Xenopus tropicalis: one gene and its partners. The protein of the gene in region 2 purifies or fractionates together with the protein of the main gene of each other region. This does not show direct contact. Links are inferred from orthologs where the notes say so. Each region holds a gene or a part of one and is shown on either strand. Other genes may lie near its edges. The genes, in order: rbl1, lin37, lin52, mybl2, lin54, e2f4 and rbl2.

What was found.
Region 1: the proteins of lin37 (region 2) and rbl1 purify together in Homo sapiens (affinity purification with mass spectrometry; 3 studies listed by BioGRID and IntAct, with this or other methods). This does not show direct contact. The link is inferred for Xenopus tropicalis from reciprocal best matches to the Homo sapiens genes LIN37 and RBL1.
Region 3: the proteins of lin37 (region 2) and lin52 purify together in Homo sapiens (affinity purification with mass spectrometry; 6 studies listed by BioGRID and IntAct, counting the BioPlex papers as one, with this or other methods). This does not show direct contact. The link is inferred for Xenopus tropicalis from reciprocal best matches to the Homo sapiens genes LIN37 and LIN52.
Region 4: the proteins of lin37 (region 2) and mybl2 purify together in Homo sapiens (affinity purification with mass spectrometry; 6 studies listed by BioGRID and IntAct, counting the BioPlex papers as one, with this or other methods). This does not show direct contact. The link is inferred for Xenopus tropicalis from reciprocal best matches to the Homo sapiens genes LIN37 and MYBL2.
Region 5: the proteins of lin37 (region 2) and lin54 purify together in Homo sapiens (affinity purification with mass spectrometry; 4 studies listed by BioGRID and IntAct, counting the BioPlex papers as one, with this or other methods). This does not show direct contact. The link is inferred for Xenopus tropicalis from reciprocal best matches to the Homo sapiens genes LIN37 and LIN54.
Region 6: the proteins of lin37 (region 2) and e2f4 purify together in Homo sapiens (co-immunoprecipitation; 4 studies listed by BioGRID and IntAct, with this or other methods). This does not show direct contact. The link is inferred for Xenopus tropicalis from reciprocal best matches to the Homo sapiens genes LIN37 and E2F4.
Region 7: the proteins of lin37 (region 2) and rbl2 purify together in Homo sapiens (affinity purification with western blotting; 5 studies listed by BioGRID and IntAct, with this or other methods). This does not show direct contact. The link is inferred for Xenopus tropicalis from reciprocal best matches to the Homo sapiens genes LIN37 and RBL2.

What each region holds. Positions count from the first base shown.
Region 1 is NC_030686.2:42,369,892-42,373,391, forward strand, and holds part of rbl1 (retinoblastoma-like protein 1), read left to right. Parts: intron 1-21; coding exon 22-183; intron 184-655; coding exon 656-788; intron 789-1,194; coding exon 1,195-1,410; intron 1,411-2,586; coding exon 2,587-2,792; intron 2,793-3,078; coding exon 3,079-3,255; intron 3,256-3,500. UniProt on the Homo sapiens protein: Key regulator of entry into cell division. Directly involved in heterochromatin formation by maintaining overall chromatin structure and, in particular, that of constitutive heterochromatin by stabilizing histone methylation.
Region 2 is NC_030683.2:128,883,153-128,887,344, reverse strand, and holds the start of lin37 (protein lin-37 homolog), read right to left. Parts: upstream 2,801-4,192; 5' UTR 2,695-2,800; intron 1-2,694.
Region 3 is NC_030684.2:81,969,152-81,973,402, reverse strand, and holds the start of lin52 (protein lin-52 homolog), read right to left. Parts: upstream 2,801-4,251; 5' UTR 2,786-2,800; coding exon 2,767-2,785; intron 1-2,766. Other genes in the region: aldh6a1 (methylmalonate-semialdehyde dehydrogenase [acylating], mitochondrial), read left to right, coding at 3,279-3,305.
Region 4 is NC_030686.2:39,928,692-39,932,191, reverse strand, and holds part of mybl2 (myb-related protein B), read right to left. Parts: intron 2,903-3,500; coding exon 2,810-2,902; intron 2,653-2,809; coding exon 2,432-2,652; intron 1-2,431. UniProt on the Homo sapiens protein: Transcription factor involved in the regulation of cell survival, proliferation, and differentiation. Transactivates the expression of the CLU gene.
Region 5 is NC_030677.2:85,272,412-85,275,911, forward strand, and holds part of lin54 (protein lin-54 homolog), read left to right. Parts: intron 1-933; coding exon of another isoform or gene 934-957; coding exon 958-1,647; intron 1,648-3,500. UniProt on the Homo sapiens protein: Component of the DREAM complex, a multiprotein complex that can both act as a transcription activator or repressor depending on the context. In G0 phase, the complex binds to more than 800 promoters and is required for repression of E2F target genes.
Region 6 is NC_030680.2:76,512,126-76,514,963, forward strand, and holds the end of e2f4 (transcription factor E2F4), read right to left. Parts: intron 1,275-2,838; coding exon 1,162-1,274; 3' UTR 501-1,161; downstream 1-500. UniProt on the Homo sapiens protein: Transcription activator that binds DNA cooperatively with DP proteins through the E2 recognition site, 5'-TTTC[CG]CGC-3' found in the promoter region of a number of genes whose products are involved in cell cycle regulation or in DNA replication.
Region 7 is NC_030680.2:49,460,512-49,464,475, forward strand, and holds the start of rbl2 (retinoblastoma-like protein 2), read right to left. Parts: upstream 2,801-3,964; 5' UTR 2,576-2,800; coding exon 2,417-2,575; intron 1-2,416. UniProt on the Homo sapiens protein: Key regulator of entry into cell division. Directly involved in heterochromatin formation by maintaining overall chromatin structure and, in particular, that of constitutive heterochromatin by stabilizing histone methylation.

The DNA of each region.
Region 1 (3,500 bases), on a different chromosome or scaffold from region 2:
TCCAACCTTAATCCCTTTTAGGTAATAGAAGTGTTTATTCGTTCCGAAGATGGGCTGTCACGGGATATGGTGAAACACCTCAATACCATTGAAGAACAGATTTTGGAGAGCCGTGCTTGGACCAGCGACTCGGTTCTCTGGGTGCATCTTGACGCTGTTGATAATGTGCCAACCTGTGAAGAAGTACGTTCAATATGGCCACACCTGTCCTTTCATTACTTCTTGCTCAATAAATACAGCACAATGATCGCAAAAAACTAAACTTGTGTTGGTTTCTTAACATAATTGAATAATTGTGACACAAGTTTAGTTTGGTACCTTTGTGTTACAGATCGCTAAATGCTATACGATATCAAATGACTGGATAGACACAGCACAGAATAGTCCCAATCTGTGTATTTTTATTTCTGGACAGCAGTGTTACTGTTCCCTTATACAGAACAGTACAGGCTTATAGCTTAGTGTTTGCACAAAACATACCTTCCTTGTATATTTGAATCATACGTATGGTTAATAAGCTGCCGTCTTTCCTGCCAGTGCTCAGGTCGGTCTTTTCCTTATTTGGTGTTGAAACAGCACCACTGATCATTTAGATCATTAGAACTGGTTTTTATTTTTTGATTTAAAACTGAAGAGGTTTTCTTTCATTTCATAGGTAATCATACCCAGCAACTTTGAAACTGGGAATGAGGCTGGGGTGGGCCACTTGCCCATGATGCCTGCATCTCCCATTGTTCATCCTCGGTTGAAAGAAGTTCGAACTGACCTAGGAGGATCGTTCAGGCGAGGTGAGAAACTGGGTCGGAGGGTTATCCACAAATTAAGAGACCATAAAATTATAATAAAACTGCACTTGGGAGCAAATGTTTAATGTTGTGGGGTTTTTTTCTGGGGAATAATTTGATATAATATCTTATAAGTTTATGTACTTTGTTGATGCCCACTATTTGACATTCTCAGTTTGATAATGATTTTTCACAAGATAATTTGGGGAAGGATGGGCTGAAGTTGCAACCCTGTACTATTTGCTGCTTCTACTTCACTCAACAGCAGAGAGTGAACAGAGAAGTAATTTTGCCATAAGAAATGGTTGTATGTGTTTTATTCAGCAGTGTGAATGGTTGTTTTCCAAGCTTTCCTTTGTAGCATGGATAGAGATGTATTTCAGTGTTTTTTGTTTTTTTTTTCTTTTAGACTGCCAGCCACTCTCTCCAATTTCTGTTCATGACCGCTACAGTTCACCAGCTGCTGGCAGTGCCAAGAGGAGGCTCTTTGGGGATGACTGCCCAAGGGAGCAAACTGTGGACAAAATAACCACACCTGATATCACCCGCATAAGGATTGCATTAAGCCCCTCTCCTGATAAAACTGCCCAGTCTATTGGGCAGACTATTGCTATACCTGTGCAAGGTAAATACTGGTGCTTAAAAGTGAAAGCTTTATTCTTAACCTTTCTAGGATTGGACACGTTAGTATGTCAGTGACCGTTTTGGCTTCTGTTTCTGATTAATTTTTCAAAGTATTTGTAAAAGGCCACTTGGTATAACATTTGGGCCAGTCTTATAACAGGGTTACAGATAGGAGCACCCTGCTATAGTTCCAGGGGTACCCAGGGCACAAATAAGCACTCACCCCAAATCCCCCCCTAACTGGCCTTCAGGCTGGGCCCCCTTAGCCCATAACAAGGTTACAGATATATAGAAACATTGGGGTAACAGTCACCCTGCTATAGTTCCAGGAGTACCCAGGGCACAAATAAGCACTCACCCCAAATCCCCCCCCTAACTGGCCTTCCGGCTGGGCCCCCTTAGCCCATAACAAGGTTACAGATATATAGAAACATTGGGGTAACAGTCACCCTGCTATAGTTCCAGGGGTACCCAGGGCACAAATAAGCACTCACCCCAAATCCCCCCTAACTGGCCTTCAGGCTGGGCCCCCTTAGCCCATAACAAGGTTACAGATATATAGAAACATTGGGGTAACAGTCACCCTGCTATAGTTCCAGGGGTACCCAGGGCACAAATAAGCACTCACCCCAAATCCCCCCCCTAACTGGCCTTCAGGCTGGGCCCCCTTAGCCCATAACAAGGTTACAGATATATAGAAACATTGGGGTAACAGTCACCCTGCTATAGTTCCAGGGGTACCCAGGGCACAAATAAGCACTCACCCCAAATCCCCCCCTAACTGGCCTTCAGGCTGGGCCCCCTTAGCCCATAACAAGGTTACAGATATATAGAAACATTGGGGGTAACAGTCACCCTGCTATAGTTCCAGGGGTACCCAGGGCACAAATAAGCACTCACCCCAAATCCCCCCCTAACTGGCCTTCAGGCTGGGCCCCCTTAGCCCATAACAAGGTTACAGATATAGAAACATTGGGGTAACAGTCACCCTGCTATAGTTCCAGGGGTACCCAGGGCACAAATAAGCACTCACCCCAAATCCCCCCCCTAACTGGCCTTCAGGCTGGGCCCCCTTAGCTCAACACATATGGGTGGGAGTATTGGCTTTTTATCTGCTGGGGGGAAAATGCCAAGTTTGATATTAGCCTTTTAATCCATTACTGCTACTACTTCTTAGGTTTAGCGAATGAAAGTGTCAAAAGCCTTTTTCTACCAATGAAAACGTCTCCTCCACAAAGTGAAAATTATGTTCCGGTCCCTTTGACTGCGCAAGCACTGATTAGCCCACTTACAAAGCGTCAGTTGGGCAGAATGCCGGAATCCTGCCCCACATCAGCGCGCAAGCCCAAGAAAACTGGCTCTCTGGCTTTGTTCTTTAGAAAGGTGAGCTCAAATATATTCAAAATTATTTGCTTGTGACTTCACGTGACCCTTTACCTGCCGGCGATGTAGGTTCTCTGTTTCTACCTTTAAACGACACTGTCCATCTAATAAAAAAAAAAATTAGAAACCTGTGAACTACAATTCCCAGAAATCCTAGTTTAGGCCGAGAGTTGAAGCTAAGCCAGTAAGATGGATGTTTACCCACTACTGTAATAATGCTTAGTGCTTAGTATCATGTTCTTTTGGGCAACTATGGAACTTTGCAGCCATGTACTTTGTACTGTAGGTCTATCACTTGGCGAGTGTCCGTCTCCGTGACTTGTGCCTGAAGCTGGATGTGTCCAATGATTTGCGCCGAAAGATCTGGACTCTGTTTGTGTACTCGCTGGTCCATTGCACTGACCTAATGAAAGACAGGCACCTGGATCAGCTGCTCCTCTGTGCTGTGTACATTATGGCCAAGGTACGTTTTATCTAAGCTTTAGTACTGCACGGAAGTGGATTATCTCTTGTGAAATGACATCATTCTGTTTACATTGTAAGGGGGGAAAAAGTTATTTTATTTATATTTAGTGCAGAATGTGCCATCAGGAATTGGCCAGCTAACTTAAATCCATACCTTTTAAATGAGAAAGAAAGGTATTTTGGCATTTTACTGCCAATAGATTAGTCATTAGTGCCACCTAGAAAGCTATATATTCTGCAGAA
Region 2 (4,192 bases):
CTCACTGGGGCAGGGGCTGATGGGAATGGGATAGGGACCTTAGATTGTAAGCTCACTGGGGCAGGGGCTGATGGGAATGGGATAGGGACCTTAGATTGTAAGCTCACTGGGGCAGGGACTGATGGGAATGTGATAGGGACCTTAGATTGTAAGCTCACTGGGGCAGGGGCTGATGGGAATGTGATAGGGACCTTAGATTGTAAGCTCACTGGGGCAGGGACTGATGGGAATGGGATAGGGACCTTAGAGTGTAAGCTCACTGGGGCAGGGACTGATGGGAATGGGATAGGGACCTTAGAGTGTAAGCTCACTGGGGCAGGGGCTGATGGGAATGGGATAGGGACCTTAGATTGTAAGCTCACTGGGGCAGGGACTGATGGGAATGGGATAGGGACCTTAGAGTGTAAGCTCCACTGGGGAAGGGGCTGATGGGAATGGGATAGGGACCTTAGATTGTAAGCTTACTGGGGCAGGGACTGATGGGAATGGGATAGGGACCTTAGATTGTAAGCTCACAGGGGCAGGGGCTGATGGGAATGTGATAGGGACCTTAGATTGTAAGCTCACAGGGGCAGGGGCTGATGGGAATGTGATAGGGACCTTAGATTGTAAGCTCACTGGGGAAGGGGCTGATGGGAATGGGATAGGGACCTTAGAGTGTAAGCTCACTGGGGCAGGGACTGATGGGAATGGGATAGGGACCTTAGATTGTAAGCTCACTGGGGCAGGGACTGATGGGAATGGGATAGGGACCTTAGAGTGTAAGCTCCACTGGGGAAGGGGCTGATGGGAATGGGATAGGGACCTTAGATTGTAAGCTTACTGGGGCAGGGACTGATGGGAATGGGATAGGGGCCTTAGATTGTAAGCTCACAGGGGCAGGGGCTGATGGGAATGTGATAGGGACCTTAGATTGTAAGCTCACTGGGGCAGGGACTGATGGGAATGGGATAGGGACCTTAGATTGTAAGCTCACTGGGGCAGGGACTGATGGGAATGTGATAGGGACCTTAGATTGTAAGCTCACTGGGGCAGGGGCTGATGGGAATGGGATAGGGACCTTAGATTGTAAGCTCACTGGGGCAGGGACTGATGGGAATGGGATAGGGACCTTAGATTGTAAGCTCACTGGGGCAGGGACTGATGGGAATGGGATAGGGACCTTAGATTGTAAGCTCACTGGGGCAGGGACTGATGGGAATGGGATAGGGACCTTAGATTGTAAGCTCACTGGGGCAGGGACTGATGGGAATGGGATAGGGACCTTAGATTGTAAGCTCACTGGGGCAGGGACTGATGGGAATGGGATAGGGACCTTAGATTGTAAGCTCACTGGGGCAGGGGCTGATGGGGGCCTGGTTGGGGCACTACAGTTGGGGGGCAGGGGCTGATGGGGGCCTGGTTGGGGCACTACAGTTGGGGGGCAGGGGCTGATGGGGGCCTGGTTGGGGCACTACAGTTGGGGGGGCAGAGGCTGATGGGGGCCTGGTTGGGGCACTACAGTTGGGGGGGCAGGGGCTGATGGGGCCTGGTTGGGGCACTACAGTTGGGGGGCAGGGGCTGATGGGGGCCTGGTTGGGCACTCCAGTTGGGGGGCAGGGGCTGATGGGGGCCTGGTTGGGGCACTACAGTTGGGGGGCAGGGGCTGATGGGGGCCTGGTTGGGGCACTACAGTTGGGGGGCAGGGGCTGATGGGGGCCTGGTTGGGGCACTACAGTTGGGGGGGCAGAGGCTGATGGGGGCCTGGTTGGGGCACTACAGTTGGGGGGCAGGGGCTGATGGGGCCCTGGTTGGGGCACTACAGTTGGGGGGCAGAGGCTGATGGGGGCCTGGTTGGGGCACTCCAGTTGGGGGGCAGGGGCTGATGGGGGCCTGGTTGGGGCACTCCAGTTGGGGGGCAGGGGCTGATGGGGGCCTGGTTGGGGCACTCCAGTTGGGGGGCAGGGGCTGATGGGGGCCTGGTTGGGGCACTCCAGTTGGGGGCAGGGGCTGATGGGGGCCTGGTTGGGGCACTACAGTTGGGGGGCAGGGGCTGATGGGGGCCTGGTTGGGGCACTCCAGTTGGGGGGGCAGGGGCTGATGGGGGCCTGGTTGGGGCACTCCAGTTGGGGGGCAGGGGCTGATGGGGGCCTGGTTGGGGCACTCCAGTTGGGGGGCAGGGGCTGATGGGGGCCTGGTTGGGGCACTACAGTTGGGGGGCAGGGGCTGATGGGGGCCTGGTTGGGGCACTCCAGTTGGGGGGCAGGGGCTGATGGGGGCCTGGTTGGGGCACTCCAGTTGGGGGGCAGGGGCTGATGGGGGCCTGGTTGGGGCACTCCAGTTGGGGGTCAGTCTCACACACACTGGGATCCCCTCAGGAAGCAGATTTATGAAAGGACAAATTCTTGACAGATAAATAAAGTTGCCCCCAAATGTTGCAGAAGCCTCTGGGGGATTCTGGGAGTTGTAGTTCATGATCTCCCCAACTAGAGCCATTTAGGAAAGGCTGTTCTCCCTGCTATTGCCATTAAAAAGGCGAAGGCCCTTTAGGGGACGCTGGGAGTTGTAGTTAATCTTTATAGTTATTTTCACGAAGGGAATACCGGGAAACAGATACTCAATATTGCAGCTGCTCCATGTACCCTACACGGTCCCGCTAAACAAGCCTCCGAACCATAAACCCAACCCGCCGCCATTGGTACTGACAGAACTTACCGACTCCGAACCGTCCGCGCTGCGCTTAAATCTCCGCCCCCTCCCTTTGTCATTGGGCGAACGCTTTCTTGGTTTAGCCAATGCGCTTCTCTTGCGAGCTGCTCGTCATTCAGTACTAACCAATCACAGAAGAGCATCCCGCTACGCCCCGCCCATTGCCGTGCTGCCTTGTTTCCCATCCGCTCAGCTGATGCGCTTGATTGGCAGGCAGCCGCAGAGCATGACGGGAATCGGGAGGGCCGGAAGCGGTTGGGTAGTTGTTCTCCCGTCGTGCTTTGCGTCTTGACAGTTGCTAGGAGACAGGCGGCAGGAAGCGCGGTAGATTTGACTCTCGGGAAGGGGCGGAAGTATCAGGAGTGACAGGATATCATGGCCCTGTTCTAATGTGGGGAATATAGGGAATTGGGCGCTGCTGGTACTGGTGTCCGTATGTAGGCGGGGAACTACAACTCCCGGCAGTACAGAGGTGTGAGAGAATATCCAGGTACGTTCCCATTGCGCCTTACTGGGAGTTATTAGCGCTATGGCTTCCCCAGTACGCCTCAGCTACCAACCATACAGCATCGCCCTGTGGATTTCTCCTTATTCCATTGTGCTCATTGCGCCCAGAGGTGTTAATCTGCGGTCCTACAGTGGAGCCCAATGAGTTGCGCCTGCTATGTGGTGTTAGCTGGGCTACAGGGGCCCTTGGCAGGCAGACTTAGGGGGGGCCCTTGGCATGCAGACTTAGGGGGGGCCCTTGGCAGGCAGACTTAGGGGGGGCCCTTGGCATGCAGACTTAGGGGGGGCCCTTGGCATGCAGACTTAGGGGGGGCCCTTGGCATGCAGACTTAGGGGGGGCCCTTGGCATGCAGACTTATGGGGGGGCCCTTGGCAGGCAGACTTAGGGGGGGCCCTTGGCAGGCAGACTTAGGGTGGGGCCCTTGGCAGGCAGTCTTGAGGGGGGCTGGCCTTGGCAGGCAGTCTTGAGGGGGGCGGGCCTTGGCAGGCAGTCTTGAGGGGGGCGGGCCTTGGCAGGCAGTCTTGAGGGGGGCGGGCCTTGGCAGGCAGTCTTGAGGGGGGCGGGCCTTGGCAGGCAGTCTTGAGGGGGGCGGGCCTTGGCAGGCAGTCTTGAGGGGGGCGGGCCTTGGCAGGCAGTCTTGAGGGGGCGGGCCTTGGCAGGCAGTCTTGAGGGGGGCGGGCCTTGGCAGGCAGTCTTGAGGGGGGCGGGCCTTGGCAGGCAGTCTTGAGGGGGGCGGGCCTTGGCAGGCAGTCTTGAGGGGGGCGGGCCTTGGCATGCAGTCTTGAGGGGGGCGGGCCTTGGCATGCAGTCTTGAGGGGGGCGGGCCTTGGCATGCAGTCTTGAGGGGGGCGGGCCTTGGCATGCAGTCTTGAGGGGGGCGGGCATTGGCATGCAGTCTTGAGGGGGGCGGGCCTTGGCATGCAGTCTTGAGGGGGGGGGGGCCCTTGGCATGCAGTCTTGAGGGGGGGGGGGCCCTTGGCATGCAGTCTTGAGGGG
Region 3 (4,251 bases), on a different chromosome or scaffold from region 2:
ACCAGTGCAGGGCCACAGTATGTTATATTTCAATTACTTTAAAACACTTTCATTTTTTGGTGTTACTGTTCCTTTAAATGCCAAAACTATTTTTGAATAGTCAACTAAGTGAAATCTTGTGACTTTGTGACCTTAGCTACTTACTTCCCACTGGTTTTAAAGGGGCAGTGTCACCTCTAGCTCAAAATCAGATCAATAAATAGTATGGTGTTTGTTTATACAAAGCTTATTGGCCCTATTTAAACTCAGTTGATAGCGGTTAAAATAGGTAGATAAAGTAAAAACTAAATAATAATACATAAGTATACTATATTATACATACATTCTATTTATCTTGCTTGTGTTGAAAAAAGTGTAAAGTTCATTTTTTTGTTTTAATCATTGTATTAGTATTCAAGAAAACATACAGGTGAACGTGGAATCTCATTCAAAATAGAGAGATCATAAAAGGTAAGCATTGAAAAGTAAACAATTACAATCTTACATAAAACTAATTGTAATAATATTTAATATATTAAAGTTACTAGAGTTCAAGAAAAAATTTGTGCCAAGTATTATTTTCATGGCTAGGATTACGTATAGTAGGAATCCATTTTAATGATAAAGGATGTCATGTATCTTATCTCTTTCCTTATTTTCCAAGCTTTGCAAATATTTTCCATTTTGATGTAAATTTTAAATGGTGTTTTCAAGCTATCGAATCTGAAATGAATAGTTTCATTTTTACAAAGATTTAGTTCTGCTTAAATGTCAGTGAATGAGGGAGGGGAGGACTCAATCCACTATTTAAATATAACTCTTTTAGCTGCAACCAAAGTCAATTTGATGTAATTCAGAATGTGGAGAATTCCAGTCTTTAGACTTGCCTGTGATTAAGTGCATCTTTAAACAGAGCTCTTTTCCATTTAAAAGTTGGATCTAGGCTACAAACCATCCAGTGTGATATGTAAAAGCATGTACTAACAGCTAAGTAAATAAAGTGTTTGGGTCATATGAACAAATCCATTAGTACAAATGAAAATCTCTATGAATTTCACTCATTAAAGGATGATAAAAGCTAAAATCATTGGCAGGCTCCAATTTGTTAGTCATCCCCCCATGATTATATTTACAGAGCAGAGACCCAAAGCTTGCATTTTTTCTGCAGAGTGTGCCATAACCATTTTTCCCTGCTCTTTCCAAAGCTCCTCTATTGCCCTGGGTAAGCAGAGTCCAGTAATTGTTCAGTGAGTTTTGTACTGTGCACAATGTGAACAACTTCTCTTGTTGATGATTACAATCATGGGGGGTGGCTGACAACTTGGCAACCCCAGTGAATTTTGCTAGCATTGTGTTTTAAGAAGGTATCATGCTTGCAAACCATGCTTACTACTTGCAGAGTATAATTTGAGAAAAAAAATACGTAAAAGCCACACAACAGGTTAAAACTGGTATAATTCCCCTTGTAAACTATAGCTGTGAATGCGTTCAAAGGGAAAAAAACAAGTTAAATTGAGCGTTATCCATTAACTATTGCAAGTAAACTCTCACTCATACCCCACAAAGATCTCAGCACATAGATTTGAGGTAACAAAAACAGTATAGACCTTTGCTCAAACGAAGTAAAATAAAGAGGACATATACTCTTGCTATTCTTTTAAAAGATAAAAAAAATCTTATTTTGGTAGGGTTCTGTTATAAAGTACCTCACTCTTCCTAAACCTGTATGCAGGAGAGTTTATTTCTGCAAGGTTTTACTTCTTCTGCTCTTACTGTATCTTTTTTTCTGTTACCATTTTCAAGTCACTCCCACCTGTAGGTATAGACTGGCTATCTGTGGATCCAGGGGAATGCCAGATGGGCTGCTGTTAGATGCCAGACATTTATTAGCCAGGTGGGGGCTGTTTGGGCATTACACCAAAAGGACATTACACCAAAAGGATCTAGGCTATTCATACAAAACAAGCTAGATTTTAACTTTTCTTGTTGGCAAGGTGTATTCACAAGAATACATTTTCACACACTAGAGTAACCAAGTAGCATTGTGGTAAAGTGGTCGGAATTCTTGCCCTTCTGTGTTAGGGTTCTGGGTTCAACTCACAAAGCTTTTACACAAATTTTTTACATGTATGTTGATAGGAAGAGTTTGGGTTTACGTAGTATACTTTGGGTCATTAGGATTAGGCTAGACTGTATAATACTTTTTTCATGAGCGTGAATATCTCGTATATAATTTTGGGACATTAGGTTTGTGATTATGATAATGTTTAGCTAAAATAAAGCACTCTTTTCTTTAATTGCCTTTAGTAGCTTGATCACTGAGCTATATCCACACTAGGATCTAACAGCTTTACGCATGTGCACTATGCTACATTCGTCTATGAGTAGTAGTATTTAGGTTAATGTCTGTACATTGGCAACATCCCAAATTGTGCAAGTACACCTTCCTACAAACTAGACGAAGCCGAAGGCTTGTACACTTTCCACCTGATGTCAATAGGAAGCCTTATTACATGTGAAAAGTAAAAGAAGGATCAGTTCATTGTCTGCGGCTAATTATTGACATGGCTAGGGATCACCAGAGCAGCACAGAACATCGCAATGCATTCACTGTTATTTTCAAGGTTTAATGATAAACTCCCAGTACTTTCTCGACAGAGTAACCATGCGCAGCGGGAACACACATCGGCTTTACCCTGCTGCTAGAAGCAATTATCGGATACATATATGTAGAATACTTTCCTCTAAGCCCATTAGTGTACCTACAAATTAAAAACAACCGCTTACCATCCGTAACTGCCGCCATTTTCTCACTTGTCACGTGACAGAAATAGACTTAAACATTCCATCTTGGTACACCCAATTTGACGCTCTATACTTAAGCGCCATATTGCTGCACCCACCCATAGCTTACACAAACGTCTATTTTTTAAAGACTAAAGTTAACTTGTACAATAATGTTTTAACCATTAAGGCATGGTGCGATGCACTGCCTTTTTGCTACATCACTTTCCAGACACCAAGAAGGCGTCATGTTCCTACACATTTTGTCGATCGTAAAAATGGCAAATAGCGGTGAAGATCCAAGAGTCATCACGTGACAAATATGAGCCAATCAAGGCACACATAGTAGGGCACCAGTCGGTCAAACCTTGAGTTAGCGCACAATCGGTCACTATTTCTGGCAGGCCAATAGGAAACACTTTTTAAGGGGCCGTGGCATCATCAGCCAATGGCGGGGTAGAGGTGTGGCTTCTTGTCATTCAGTCTCTGAGAAGCTCAGGGATTCTGAAGGAAGCATGATGCGGATCAGAGGAATAGTGAGGGTGAGTGTGGGCTAGTACATTGACATGAGTGAGTGGGGGAGAGAATATCCCCAGGTACCCAAAATAAATGGGTGTTCCCAATAGACGAATGAAACTATATTATGAAGGTGCTATTTTACAAGCAGGGCTACGTTGATATGCGCGGATAAAGGAGGCTGGGATTAAGAGACTGATGGTCGGTAGTGACTCAGTGTTGGGGGTAGTAAATTGGGCCCCTGCATTAGAATTTTGCACCGGAGAGGATGGGTCACTGCCCTTTCTCTAGAGGCCTTCATAGTTCGTGTATTGGTATGCCCAGCCCAGGCCTTGCCAAAAGTCTTGGAAGGAAACTAAGATTCAAGTAGTGAACCAAATAGTGTGAGGATTGATCTGGTATTCCTATTGATTAATATTAATCTGATATACTCCTTTGTTAAGTTTTGGATAATTTACTTTGCAAAATTTGGTGCTTTGTTGGGCTGCATATCATTGCACATGAACACTCCCATGTATATAAGGCGATATATCAGATATTCCCAGTGGGTGCTTAATAATGTTCAGTGCTATGCAGCTTATGCTGAGATCCTAATAAGAAGGTATACTTCAGAAAAATACCTATATGGACTTGCACACTGATTGCCAGCAGTAGGTTATGTGGGCATTGTTGGCAGCTAATGCCTGCTTTGTGCTATATATTAGCATAGGAATGGATAAACTGTTGATTATCTAGGGCATGTGTGAAACACAAGGCCCGCGGGCCGAATCCAGCCCGCCTGGCTGTTTTATGTGGCCGATGGTGACTGTGTCTGAACATGCAGCACCTATCACCTGACATCACTGCTCCAGTCCCAGTGGTGCTGCACGGTCAGGCATGGTTGACCCTCAACTTGGCCTGTGTTTTAGATTTCGGCCCCTTATGTGATTGAGTTTGACACCCATGATCTAGGGCTACCTTTATGGGTGATGA
Region 4 (3,500 bases), on a different chromosome or scaffold from region 2:
TAATCTCTAAATAATCATCTTTACAAACATGCATAACAGTGTACAGGTATATGCAGATACCTCTCTTCTGTGGGCAAACGGTTTAACCTGTTGACTCAAAAACATTTCCCTAAAGGAGAACTAAACCCCTTTCTGTGCTACGACTAAATTGGTGCCTAAAGCCTAGCTACCTGGTACCAGCTTTGTAACTGTAGAGTAGTGAACTGGTGTTGGGGACTATCATCCCTGGCTGCATCTGGATCTGTGACATTGCAAAGAACAAGCATGTACAGCGGCAGCAGATCTAATCCTGGTTTCCACCACATATGCTCCTTGTAGACAATCAGGGCCAGGGACACAAACTGGATGTGAAGCAACTAGGGATGCACCGAATCCCAGATTTGGTTCGGTTTCGGACAAATCCACGGTACCAGCTGAACCGAATACTATTTAGCATATGCTAAATTAGCATTCAGAAAGGGTTAACTGGTCAGGGGTGGAGATTTTTTAGCCCCTTCTGATCCTAATTAGCATATGTTAATTAGAATTTGGCAGAATCAGTCAGGGTGGGTTCGGCCGAACCCAAAAAAGTGGGTTTGGTGCATCCCTAGAAGCAACTGCAACCACACTGCAGTTACATAGAAGGTATGGGGACAAGTGAACTTTTAGCTGCAGGCAATGATGTCATCAGGAGGGAGAAAGGTGGCCCCTGTGGGAGGCCAAACAGTTGAAAATGCAGAGGGGGTATAGTTCTCCTCTACCTCACCTGCACTATTGCGGGCTTTGAATATCCTGAAAATGCTTTCCCACCAGCAACGTAAAGCACCACTGCGGGAAACATATATGCCGCTTCAAGTTTTTCAAGTAGCCCCAAAATCTCCTTACGAGGTAACTTTTGGCTACTTCGCAAAGCAGAAGTGATGCAAATGTTTCCCCACAGTGTGCCACTGCCCTTAAGATGAAGGAACACAGGGCATACTGCATCCAGTGAAGGAGCACCCAGATCAGTCGCTGCCCCCTCTTATTCACAAAGTACAATGCTATAGTACATGTCTTTTCAGCCTTAGAAGCACTGCTAAGGTTATCAGTATCAAACAGGCACACACTCCAGATGTGGAGTAGCTAATTAGCAACTGAAGATGCATTTTTCATTGCTTTATAGCATCCAGTCTTGTCTGCAGTAGGCATGCAAATAAACTGCTATTCAGCCTTTCAGCAGGAGGCGGGCTGGCTTTAGATTTCAAATGACAGACCTAGAAAGACTTCTAAGTGATGATAACTTAGCATGTTCTTGTGCCAGCCCCATGCAGGGACTAAATGGGCTGTTCCAACCCTTAGGCAAGTGTAACACTGTGCAGATTCTCAGCCTGTGGGTAAAGGCAGCCCCAGAATCCACCACTACGCTTAAAAAAAATCTGATAGTTGTGGCAGCACCAGGAGCCACAGAGCAATATTTTGCCGAATTTTGCTTAGTGGGGCTGCAACCGAGCAGACACCTAGCAGATTTTCCAAGTCCAGGGATGGATTCTCAGCTTGCATTTAAGCCTGAGAATCTGACCAGTGTGGCAAAAGCTATGGCCCTGTGGCCAATGAGCAAATCATACTCTGGGGCCCACAGAGGCCCATTAGACAAGGACCTTTACTTGTAGGTAGTCTGATTAGCCAATGGTCACCATTAGACAATTTGCCAAGTTTTCTTATGGCTACATGAGCAATCAGCTGTACAGGCAAGTGTAAACAATACTGTTATTTAAACCTAAACAATGGGTTTCAAAATATCCTGATATACAAGTCAAAAGGAAACAGAGTGCCTGTTTACAAATTATCAACAGCTTAGTTTAACTTAAGTTGGTCAGGGTGGGAGTGAGAAAACTGTTTTGAAAGAAGGTAAAATGTTTTAGGAAAGCCAATTATTTCCTTAAACAGGTAATGTTTCAGTTTATTCTTCCCCCAGGACAGTATATTGAAGGCTTAAGGCTGCTGTACACATTTCAGCTTTGTACAGTGTCTGATTGGCCTTTGGGTTAGATAGATACTGTATAACAGTGATCTCCAACCAGTGGCTCATGATCAACATGTTGCTCCCCAAACCCCTTGGATGTTGCTCTCAGTGCCCCCAAACCAGGTAGTTATTTTTGAATTCCTGACTTGGGGGCAAGTTTTGATTGAATAAAAACAAGGTTTACTACCAAATAAAGCCCCCTGTAAGCTGATGTGTGCATAAAGGCTGCCTAATAGCCAATCACAGCCCTTATTTTGCACCTCCATGAACTTTTGATGCTTGTGTTGCTTCCCAAGTCTTTTTACATTTGACTTGGCTCACGAGTAAGAAAGGTTGGGGATCCCTGCTGTATAAGATGCTATGCATAGTATGGCCACGTTTGCACTGTTTAGACAGCCTGAACAGTTGAAGTAAAGAGGAGTTTAACAGGCAAAGGTGGGTTTCTCTTACCTCCCAGGAAGCAGCTTTGCTATTTCAGCCCAGCGATTTCCCAATACTTTATGGGCTTGGCATATAATTCTGTCCTCTTCCTCTGTCCATGAGGACTTTTTCACTTCTGGATTGAGGTGATTGTGCCATCGTTCGCGGCACTGTTTGCCCATGCGGCCTTTGAGCTGCTTAGCAATCAGGGTCCAGTGTTTGGTGCCATACTTCTTCACTAATTCTATCACCTAGAAAGAATTATCAGAGGTAGACAAAGTTCAACGTAAGCCACAAGGATGTTGAGCTCACAGCATCCCTCCAAAGACTACAAAAGAATTGTAGTTTATCAGGGCTGCCACACCAATAATAATATGTATTCCCCTATTCAGATACCTCACTTCATACCTTCTCATCTTCCTCTTTTGTCCATGGACCCTTAACCAAGTCAGGATGAAGAACACGAAGCCAGCGGTGCTGACATTGTTGTTCAGTACGATTCTGGAGGAAAAACAAAAATGTAAACACCTTACTAAAACATTAAGACTAAGGAACAAAAAGACAGTGCTTATTGTACTAAACCTTTGCTCACACCAAGTAGTGCCATCCGATGTCTAACAGCGCTGAAAGGGCATAAACACCTCTCCATTAAGCCATAAGATTTCTGGGTTCTATTTTCCCTTATGGGGAAAGGCATAACCAGCATATACCCTAATATGGAATTAAGATGTATAAAAGGGGGTAGTAATGGAAATAAATGTTAACAAGAAATAGGGAGTTTTAAGTGTACATAGACTAGCTCGTCATCAGTTCAGAAAGTGTCCCCTGATCAAAACAGCCATAAAACCATTGTAGGCCAAAGGTAACATCTGCCCAGGGCCAGCAAATCAGATATACTTTAACAGCAGAAGACCTACTTTATATGAGGTTTTTATCCTATTGGTGTATGTTGAAGACACCAACTGACATTTCACACATTTTTGCCTAGATGTCAGCCCTAATGCAGTCGTGCACCAAAAGAATCACAAGCTGATGCTGCTTTAATGCCCAGTGCCAGAACCGATGCAGTTCCCATGACTTGCACTTGATTTTTATATGC
Region 5 (3,500 bases), on a different chromosome or scaffold from region 2:
TAGAGGGTTAAGACTTTACAGTGGGGCCTACGGAAATCCATCGGATGAGGACTGCATCAGTAATCCAATGTGTTGCTACATCCAGTGTTTTTTTCCAAATCTGCCCGATTGACTGTTTTCACCCAGATACTCTTCAGCCCCATTTGTTGTCCTACATACACAGCCCAATAAGTCGCCAACTTGTACAATAAAAAAACTGCAGCCTTGTTCCCTCCAGAACATATAAATAATCTTTTTTTTTTTTTTTAAAGAATAAGTCAACTTTTTTTTTTTTTCTATTAATAAAATTACTCTAAACAGCTTCCCAGAATTGCCTACCTTTGTCCCTCTGTTCTTTCTGACCTGGTTCCTCAGTTACAAGCTGCTCTATTCCTCTCCTTCCTTGTTCAGTGTGAAGCTCCGCCCCCACTTCCTGTTCAAGTCTCTCATTACATAGACTACCTGTAGTCCAAGTGGAGAGCCTTCTGCGCATGCCTGGAGGCAGCAGGAGCCAGTCTGTGCATTAGCAGGTTTTTTTTTTCTTGATGAGACCCCTGAACAGGAAGTGGGGGCGGAGCTTCACACTGAGCAAGGAAGGAGAGGAATCGAGCAGCTTGTAACTGAGGAACCAGGTCAGAAAGAACAGAGGGACAAAGGTAGGCAATTCTGGGAAGCTGTTTAGAGTAATTTTAATAATAGAAAAAAAAAGGTTTACTTATTTTTTAACTTCTTTTATTGATCATAAACATCAGCATCACATTTTGGTATTTTTCTCTTGTTAACATTGGTATTGTTCTTAGGTTGAGTTTTGTTTTTTTATAACAATAGTTATGACCATTTCAGAAAGAGGTGAAGAAGAGAACTTATCCCAGTAGAACCCCACTGCATAATAAATAATGCATCTTTAACAACTTCTTACTTTAATATTAATAATGTTTTTTTTTTTTACTGTAGATCACCTGCTCTCAGAGGTTTAGAATGGATGTGGTGTCTACTGATGTTAACAATGTCCTCCCTGATGAGATTATGGAGACAGGAATTTCCTTGGTGGATGATGACAGCATTGAAGCTATCACAATATCCTCGCCTATGGTGGATGAAGCCCCCATGGAAACAGAACTGGAGCGCATTGTGGAAGTGAGCAGTAGTGGTGAATGTGTTTCTACAGCAGTAGTGAAAGAAGCAGTTGCATCAACTAGCAACAATGCTGGACACTTAGCAGTGGTTAGTGTTGCTTCAAAGCCAGAATCTGGACCTTCAGCCGCAGCCATGAAAACTGTATTACAGACGCACTTTCACAAACTGGCTACTCCTATATCTGGTCAGGTGGTACTTAATAAGGTTTCACAGGCTTCTGATCTTACAGCCGGAAGTCATGTTGTGAAGCAGGAAGGGCAGAAACTGATTGTTACAACTCTGGGAAAATCAAGCCACCCCATTGTTCTGACATTGCCACAGAGTCACATTGGAAATGCACAGACACCAGTTACTCACGTTCAACGTATAGAATCTAAAGTGACACCACAGCAGATTAAGCTTGTAACCATCGGTGGAAACAGATCTGATGGAAATCCTGTCCTTGGAATGTCTGCATTAACATCTGCACAAATCATCAGCCCCTCTACCAAGTCCCCAGTGTTACAGACCCAGCAGATCAAGACTTTACAGGTAGATTTAATTTGAGGAAAGTGATGCTGTCCTGAATCATATGTGCTTTTTATTCATAAGTTTTACAGTTGTCACCCTATTTGTGGTATTAGCTTGCCAGCTAATATGTTATGTAGCATAGATCAAATAAGATTCCAGAAATGTAAAATCTGTGGCGCTGGCAGTTTGATACCTGGCAGATCATGCAATAGGTTTTATTATTATTCAGAAAAGGAAGTACATAATGGGCATAATCAGTTAATGAGCTTGCAAATGTATCTGTTTTGAGAAAAGATGCAAACTCACAGGGCTTATGAAATGACATAGAATAATTATTGGTAAGCGTCTAACATTTCAACTGTTGCTACAAGCCTTTCTTACCTTGAAAAAGGGTAGAGCAACAGCTGAAATTTTAGTAATTTACCAATAAAAGTTCTGTATCACTTTCACTGTATCTCACAAGTATTTAGTATCTAAAAGACAAGTAAATCGTTAGAGTATTCAGGAGAAGATGCAAAAATATCTGCCAGGAAAAAGCATATGGTGAACATGATTGATTCAGGGACTGGTCCAATTGCCATCTTGGAGTCAGGAAGGAATTTTTTCCCCTCTGCGACAAATGAGAGAGGCTTCAGTTGGGTTTTTTTTTTTGCCTTCCTCTGGATCAACATCGGGAGCCAACCTGACTGTCCTATCTCAGCCTGTCATTTTATAGCTTCTAATGCTAACCTACTACTGATGCACAAATTTGGCAGCTCCCTCATAGAGGAACATGGGAGATCAGAGAGGTAATTTAAAAGCATTGGGCAAATACTTTTTAAGGCAAATTATAAATATCCTGGAAATACAATTTTATGGAAAAAAAAACAGATACTTGGACCAAAAATTAAATGGGAAGGAAAGGTAAAAATTACTTTTACATTCCCACAGCTTTAGTATTAAAGCAACTAAATAAACTGAATGCATACAGCCAATAGGAAGGCTTCTGCTTATGTCATATTAGCGTAGCGTAATGGCAATGTAAGTTGTGATGTAACAATGCTCCCTGCACTGCCTAGGGAAAGATCCTCCTAATTCAAATTAGGTATGTTTTACCAGGCACCTTCAGCTACTTAGATCTAAAATGAAAGCGAAAGCTGCATTAGCAAGCTTAGGGGAACATTATTTAGAGTATTATGAGTAACACTTAACAAAGGTTTACTTAACCCCTTTAATATTCTAAAGTGCTACTTTAAAGTCTCCACTTTTTGTGAATTTTGTCTTTTAAACAGAACGTTTTCAGATTTTGTCTTTTAGATTACATTTTAACAACATGTTTTATGAATTTGTCAGTGTGCCATCAAACCCAGTCTCATATCTACAAGCTGGGCTTTCTAAATTTTTGTGTATTTCCACTTTAAGGGTCTAATACCAAAAAAAATTGCATAATATAGGGATATATATCACAAAAATATTGCTTTACATGTGAACATTTAGAAATCTGCATGTTTCATAAATGTGCCAAAACCAAATATGTATAGTTTTATGGAGATTTCTGACTTGTATGTTTCAAAAGCTCAAATGTGCCAAAATTTCAAAGCACCACCACAGAAATCAACTTTTTTTTACGCTACTGTGCCCTTTTTTTGACGTGACCGCGCCTTTCACTAACAGCGAAATGAGGAATTCTGCTGTGAATCCATGTCTGGGGAAAGAATTCGCTCATCGCTAGTGCCAGTGTGCATGTGCCGTTTGTTGATCACTGAGATGGTTGCTGGGAACAGAATTGGCACAGCTAAAGGTGGTGGCCAATGCTGTCAAGCAACTCTGTACTTCTGGACATGCTATAGGGGCACCGATGACTTGGGACTTTATCAATAAAGTGATTAAAGAGG
Region 6 (2,838 bases), on a different chromosome or scaffold from region 2:
GCCAAGGAACTCCTTTTGCAGAAAGTATATTCCTTACCTTGATTACTGACACTGGAATTACATTATATATATTATATATTTGCAGTATATTAAATAAAATCAATTTAAATCAACATAGACTAAGTCCTAATATTCTACTTAAACGTTGGACTGAGATCCAGGTGGAGCAGCACTGGTATTAAAAACAAGGAGATCTCTGTCTGGGAGAAACAACATATCTCCATGGTACCATGTCACCTAACATATTACAAATATATGAAAGCTATGTGCAAAGGAAAATGCCAATCTTAACGTATATTCGGTCATAGAAGTGACTATAAATAGGTAACTCTTTACACTATAATATTCTTTCTAAAGCACAAGTTTATAATATAATTCAATTCCATACAACTCCAGTGCCAGCAATCATTGTGTATCATTTGGACTAAAATGGACTGCACAGCTTTTGTATTGAATCTCACCACTTTCACCCCAACAAAGTCACACAGCTGCTCTGGGTGTTTGTTTTTACATCCCTAAAGTGCTACTGGCAAATACGGGTTTATTTTGTAGAAAACAAAAATTACAAATAGTTCATGTGGCGCAGCAAATGTATGTAGAAAAATAATTTCATATCAACATCTTCTTTCATTTAGGTAAATTAGCTAGACAGTGACTGGCAGCGATTTGGCAGTGAGTGAGGTCAGAGCATAATAAAAGACAACCAAGCTTATTTTTTACGGTTACTGCATGGAAAACCATTTGTTTATGGAGGATGGTACTGCACACCTACTATATTATTGGACAGACTTAAGAACTTCTAAGCCCAAATACTGAGGCACACTCAGCCAAAAATCCAAATATTATGTACTTCAGCAAAAATGTTAAGTGCTTGAAATTTGTGAAAAGCTTCTGTCAGATGTAGTAATGGACTTAATAAAGCTGGATCAATACAGACAACCTCTATGAAGGGTTTGCCAAGCAGTCCTCTCATCACAGGGATGGAAAAGTTATGAGCGGATTCTCACAGTGAGAGGAGTTAAGTGTCTTTTTGCACTGCAATGTCTCTGGTATGGTTTCCGTAACAACTCACGCGGATATCCAAAAATAGAAACATTTCTTCATAAAAGACAACAAAAAAGTTCTTATTCACAAATAAGGCCCAAAGCCGAGTTCAAAATATCAGAGGTTGATGGGTACATCAAAGAGGTCACAAACTCCTTCACTTTCATCTAAATTATAGACATAGTCGTGATCACCAGGAGGAGGAGAAAGTCTGAGCAGAGGAGCAAAAACTGAAAAAAAAAAAAAAATCATGAGTATTTTCAAGCATAAGCAGGTGCCCACATACAGGGCCAGCAGTGGTATCAGTCATAAGTGCTTCTGATATGATTTATATAGAGAGACTGTATCTTAATACAAATCTATACCTATACAACCAACATCATTCTACATACCAACACTAAGGGGCACATTAACAAAGGCATGAACGCTCAGAGCGTTTTTTCGCTGAATTTTTTGGGCGTCCGCACGATTTTGTCGTACGCCGCACGACTTTTCCCCATACGCTTGCACGAAAAAACTGGAAAGGTTTTACCGCTGTTTAAAATTGTACGGTACGCACATTTTGTGACCAATACGAAATTATCGTGACTAATACAATTTTTTCGTAAGCATTTTCGTGATATTTGCGATCTTCAGAAATTTTCGTTTCCAATCCGAATTTTTCCCATTTGGGATTCGAACTCGTGATTTGATAAATCTGCCCCTAAGGGGCAAGTTTATCAAAATGTGAGTTTACCACAGAAAAAACTCATTCACTTTCTATTCATTCACTGATAAACACACTTTTAAAAATCACAGTAATTTTTTCAGTGGTAAACTTTAATCTCACATTTTGATAAACCTGCCCCTAAGTGCCATGGCAGACAGGGAGATTAGTCGCCCGCGGCGTCACGTATGCCATCCCACTGGTGATTTACATTCAAGTCAGTGGAGATGGCATATCTGGGAGATTAGTTGCCCGCGACTAATCTCCCCATCTGCCACGGCTCTTAGAATATGCAATTTAAAGAGCCAATTACACCAAAAACGTTAATTATTTGACTAGAAGAACTGCTTATTTATATAATATGTATAATAAATCTTTACTTTAAGCAAAAGTTCAAGTTTTATTGCAGCATGTTTGCTATCAGCTCTGCAGTGGTCATCCATTATTTAGCTGTCCGGCCTGCATTTACAGCCTCTTGGCTCCAATCTGCTCTATAGTGTGTTTGCAGCTGCAGACAATACTTTTGGCCTGGGTGCAAACACAAGAAGCTGATTAGGCAGTAAATGCATAGTGATGCGTTTCTGCACTAAAATACGCTGGGGGTCATTTCACCACTGGGCAAATTTGCTTGTGGGCAGTAACCTATGGCAACCAATCAAACTGCTGCATTCATTGTTCTACCTGCAGCTGGCTAAAAAAAAGCCAATAACTGACTGCTATAGGTTTCAGTGCCCAGAGTTGATAAACAAACTGCAGTGTGTCTGCAGAGAGCGGAGGGACTGTTTCTGTGCCTGTGCTTATATGCATGCTGAGAAACTGCTGTATATGGCAGTAGCCTTAGCACCACAGAGCACAGATACTTGAGAGTAAGGGCACACCATAGCAGACATTAGATCCTTACATTATTCTGTGAAAATGTACTTACTGCAAGCTAATACTTATATGGACACATACAAACGGCACACTGGTTTATGCTTAAAAGCCATGCCTTTAGATAAATCATGGCACAATGCTTTTTTTTTTTTTGCTTCTTTTAATGGGATTTTAACAAAAAAATCTTTTAGGAAAACATAAAAGAAACTATGCCT
Region 7 (3,964 bases), on a different chromosome or scaffold from region 2:
TTTAGTGAGGAGGGTCCTTTCAAACGATGAGGGTCCCTAGATTGCAGGGCGGACTCAGGGAGGTAGTAGGAAGAAGCTCTAACAGCAGACACGAGTGCGACCGTTTCTGGTGGTAGAAGTCGGGCCCTCCAACAATCGCGTCACAAGACTGACTTGGCTCGTTACCTAGAGGTTTGGGCCCTTGAACGTATGTGATATATGCTTGGCAGTCAAAGGCTTTTTCTGCAACATGTATCACATACATGCTTGGCAGGAAAAGCGTAAAACCTTACATATGTTTCTTGTAAATCCTTATTTCCAAGCAGTGCTGAGTCCCCTGGGCAACCTGGTTGGCTTGGCCCGCCTTATCCCCCACGTGGGCGCGCGTGCACACACAGGGTGGCGGGGTTGCCGGGGCCACTGGCGGGGGGGTACTACAGTAGGGGGGGGAAAGGGCCCGGAACTAGTGGTTGGTGAAAGAAATACCACCTGCCTGGCGCGGCCACACCGTTGCGCCATAGGCAGGTGCCTCTTCTGCCTACCCATGCTTCCAAGTACCTTCAGTTCCTGAAATCTCTCCATCCCCACCTTCCATTTGATTGATAGAGAGTGTACTGTCTGTAAAAAGAGCTGCCCTCTGATTGGAGAAGCTGCAAGCAAAAAAATCCAATCAGAGTGCAGCTGGTAACAATGGTATCGGACCTTGCAGGAATGCAAAGAGCTTTCCACTTTTTAATTTAGGTGCCAGACAGGTTTGGAAAGGGTTAGCCTTCCCTAGACTTAATGAAAATCTACCCATTGATTTATCTAGGGTTGAACTGGGCGGCCGGGGCACCAGGAACAAACCTGGTGAGCCCCTGCGGCCCCAACCCGATCCCCGCAGGGTGCGCCACAAATCCTCCGGTCTCCCTTCCCTGATGCGCTGCAGGTAAGTTTAATTTACAGTTACTTACTAGTGAAAAAGTATTCCATCCCACATTTGAATTTGTAGGTTTATTGGTGATGGCGCACAAAAGGAGGGATATGTACAAAACAAACTCATAAGAATTAAGAGGGAACTATAGATCTGCATAAAATAGTACTATACTATATCTGAACTATACCTAGTTCAGATTAACACAAAATATTTTCAAGGTATCATATTTCTTTTAAAAAAGGAAGAATATACAGCACTTCTCTGCTTTAGTTACTTGGATACAGTGTTAGAATATAAATAACACAGTCTGCAAGAGCCCTAGTAATTAAACAGCTGAATTGCTAAGGTCCACATATCTCCAAGGAGACTGCATTAAGCTGCTCCTCATCACAACCAAAACAAACAGCAGCCATCAAGTCAAAGCTGCTAATATACAGCATGTTAATATATATATATACAGGTAGCATAACTCCAAGTTTAAGTTAGCTGGTATAATGATCTGCACTACGCTCAGTTAGATGAGAATACAGTAAGTAAGCACTCCATATAGCTTGTCAAAAGGATGTGAAAATAACTAGGCAGATTTCTCAGCTTATAAAACACAGAAATTCAGAGTTGTGCAACTACTGTAAATACCGTGTTAATCATTTTTAATTATCTTCCACAAAAAAAAAAATCAGAAAGATGTTAATTATTGTACACATCCTCCAACAGCCTCATGTGTCAGTCCCTCCCTGAACCTTTAGATCTGTGATCCCCAACCAGTGGCTCGTGCGCAACATGTTGCTACCCAACCCCTTGAATGTTGCTCCCAGTGGCCTCAAAGCAGGTGCTCATTTTTGTATTTCTGGTTTGGAGGCAAGTTTTGGTTGCATAAAAACCCAGTATAATGCCAAACAGAGTCTCCTATAGGCTGCCAGTCCACAGAGGGGGCTATTAAGTAGCCAACCATAGCTCTTATTTGCACCCCCAGGAACCTTTCGTCATGCTTGTGTTGCTCCCCAACACTTTTTCCATTTGAATGTGGCACACAGGTAAAAAAGGTTGGGGATCCCTACTTTAGATTGTAAGCTCATGCAATCAGTTCCTTCTTGTCTCCTGCCCCGCAAGGCACTTTTTTGTTACCGTTTTGTACTTATTAGCGATCAGAATAAAGTCATAGCTATGACAGACTACTGCACTCCACGTCCATTTCATCCCTTCCCGTATCTGATAAGGAGCTGTAACACATGCAGCATAGGCATCCAGGTGAAATGCTAAATAATGTGAAATAAACTAAAAAAAAGCAATGAAAATATTTTCTGGGATGCAAAAACCTCCACAGCGCACTACTACAGTTATTTGCTAATAAGCCAAAGCTTGCAGCGACGCTGTTTGTTTTTTTTCCAGTCCAGTTGTTACTGTACTACCATACCCAGCATGCCCTGTAGCGGAGACTGGGAGAGCAGAGTAGCACCAACAGCAGTAGGAGGGCCGCAGGTCAGGCATTCATCAAGCCCATGAAAAAATAGAATTTCTCACCTCTAGAGTATAATTCTGGCTAATCCTACTGTAATACTCCCAGGCCTCCCCCCGGGCCCTCTCATCCATATTAAGGCTGCTGCAGAGTTCGTCATAGCGGCAGCGCAGCTGTTCTTCTGCCTGCTTGCCTTCCCCTTCTTCTTCTTCCTCCTTGATCATCCTCAGACCTTCCAGTTGCCCGGCTATGTCCCCTCCGCCACCCGAACGGTGCACTTCCACATCTCACACTGCGCAGCCATTTAAATGGCAATGACTGACAGCAACGCTTTGATATTCTCGTCACCAATTAGAAAGGCCTACTAGCGTAGGACACTGTTCTTCTAATATAGATGGGGAAAATGCGTAGCGTAGCCCCGCCCAAAACAACACAGAGGTCGGCCTTTTCCTTTCCTTATCGCTGCCGATTGAGATACTTGCTAGTTCCTGCTAGTCTCTTACTCTGTTCATAAACAACATAGCAGCATCCGCCGCCCTATTCTGTTAGTACGCGTGCGTTATGTTCCTTCCTGAAAAGAAAGTTTTAGTTCAACTAAGCCCCACTGTTCCTATATGTAAATACTTTCTTTGGAGGAGGAGGCCATCCTGCTTTTACGCTTTCTAAACTAACACTCACGTTTTCCTATATGGGCTGTGTCATCTTTACTTCACAGGGGGTCCAAAATGAGTGAACAAATCGACTTGAAGGAATGTCACAGTATCAATGGCAATTACGGGGGACCCAGCCCTTTATGAACATATCCAGTAATTTGTATGATTCATAAAAAAGAAAATAATTTAGAAATGCAATGCAATGTTTGCATTTAGGACATAACATGTTTTACCAACATTCACATCTTAAATGCTATGGGGATCATAATAAGTAAAAAAAATTACAGGAATTCATATATTCGTCTTTCTCTATTAATAACGTTGGCATCAAGCATAATTTATTACTGGGAAGGCGGGTAAAACACTGGACAGGTGGCAACCCTAGTCAACAGGCCCGGATTTACAAAGAGGGTGCACCCTAGACCCCCGTCTCTGCAGTCATGTGCATGCCCACTTCTATAGTCAGTGCGTGGGGCATTTCTCTAGTCCTTCAGTCCAAATTTAGAAGCAGCAGCTGGTCTGCATGTTGCCCTAGGCCCTGGCCTTTGTATAAATCCAGATCTGCTACTCAGTACTTTTCACTTATCTGAGGGGGGGGGAGCTGGAGGAAGTCGCTGCGGTGGGGGAAAGCTGAGGGGAGCCAGAGGAAGTTGCTGGGGGGGAGCTGGAGGAAGTCGCTGGGGGCGAGTTGGAGGAAGTTACTGGGGGTGGAGCAGAAGGACAATGGGGGTGAGCTGTGCACATGCAGCGGGGAGCCACAGGAAGTTGCTGGGGGGGAGCTGGAGGATTCTGATGGGAGCTGGGGGTAGCCGGAGGATGCTTGGGGGGGGAGCTGGAGGATGCTGGGAAGGACTCTGGGGGGGAGCTGGAGTATGATGTGGGGGTGAGCTGGAGGATGCAGGGGGGCCCTGGCTACCAATGTTTTAGGGGGGCCCTGGCTACCAATGTCTGTGTGTCCTT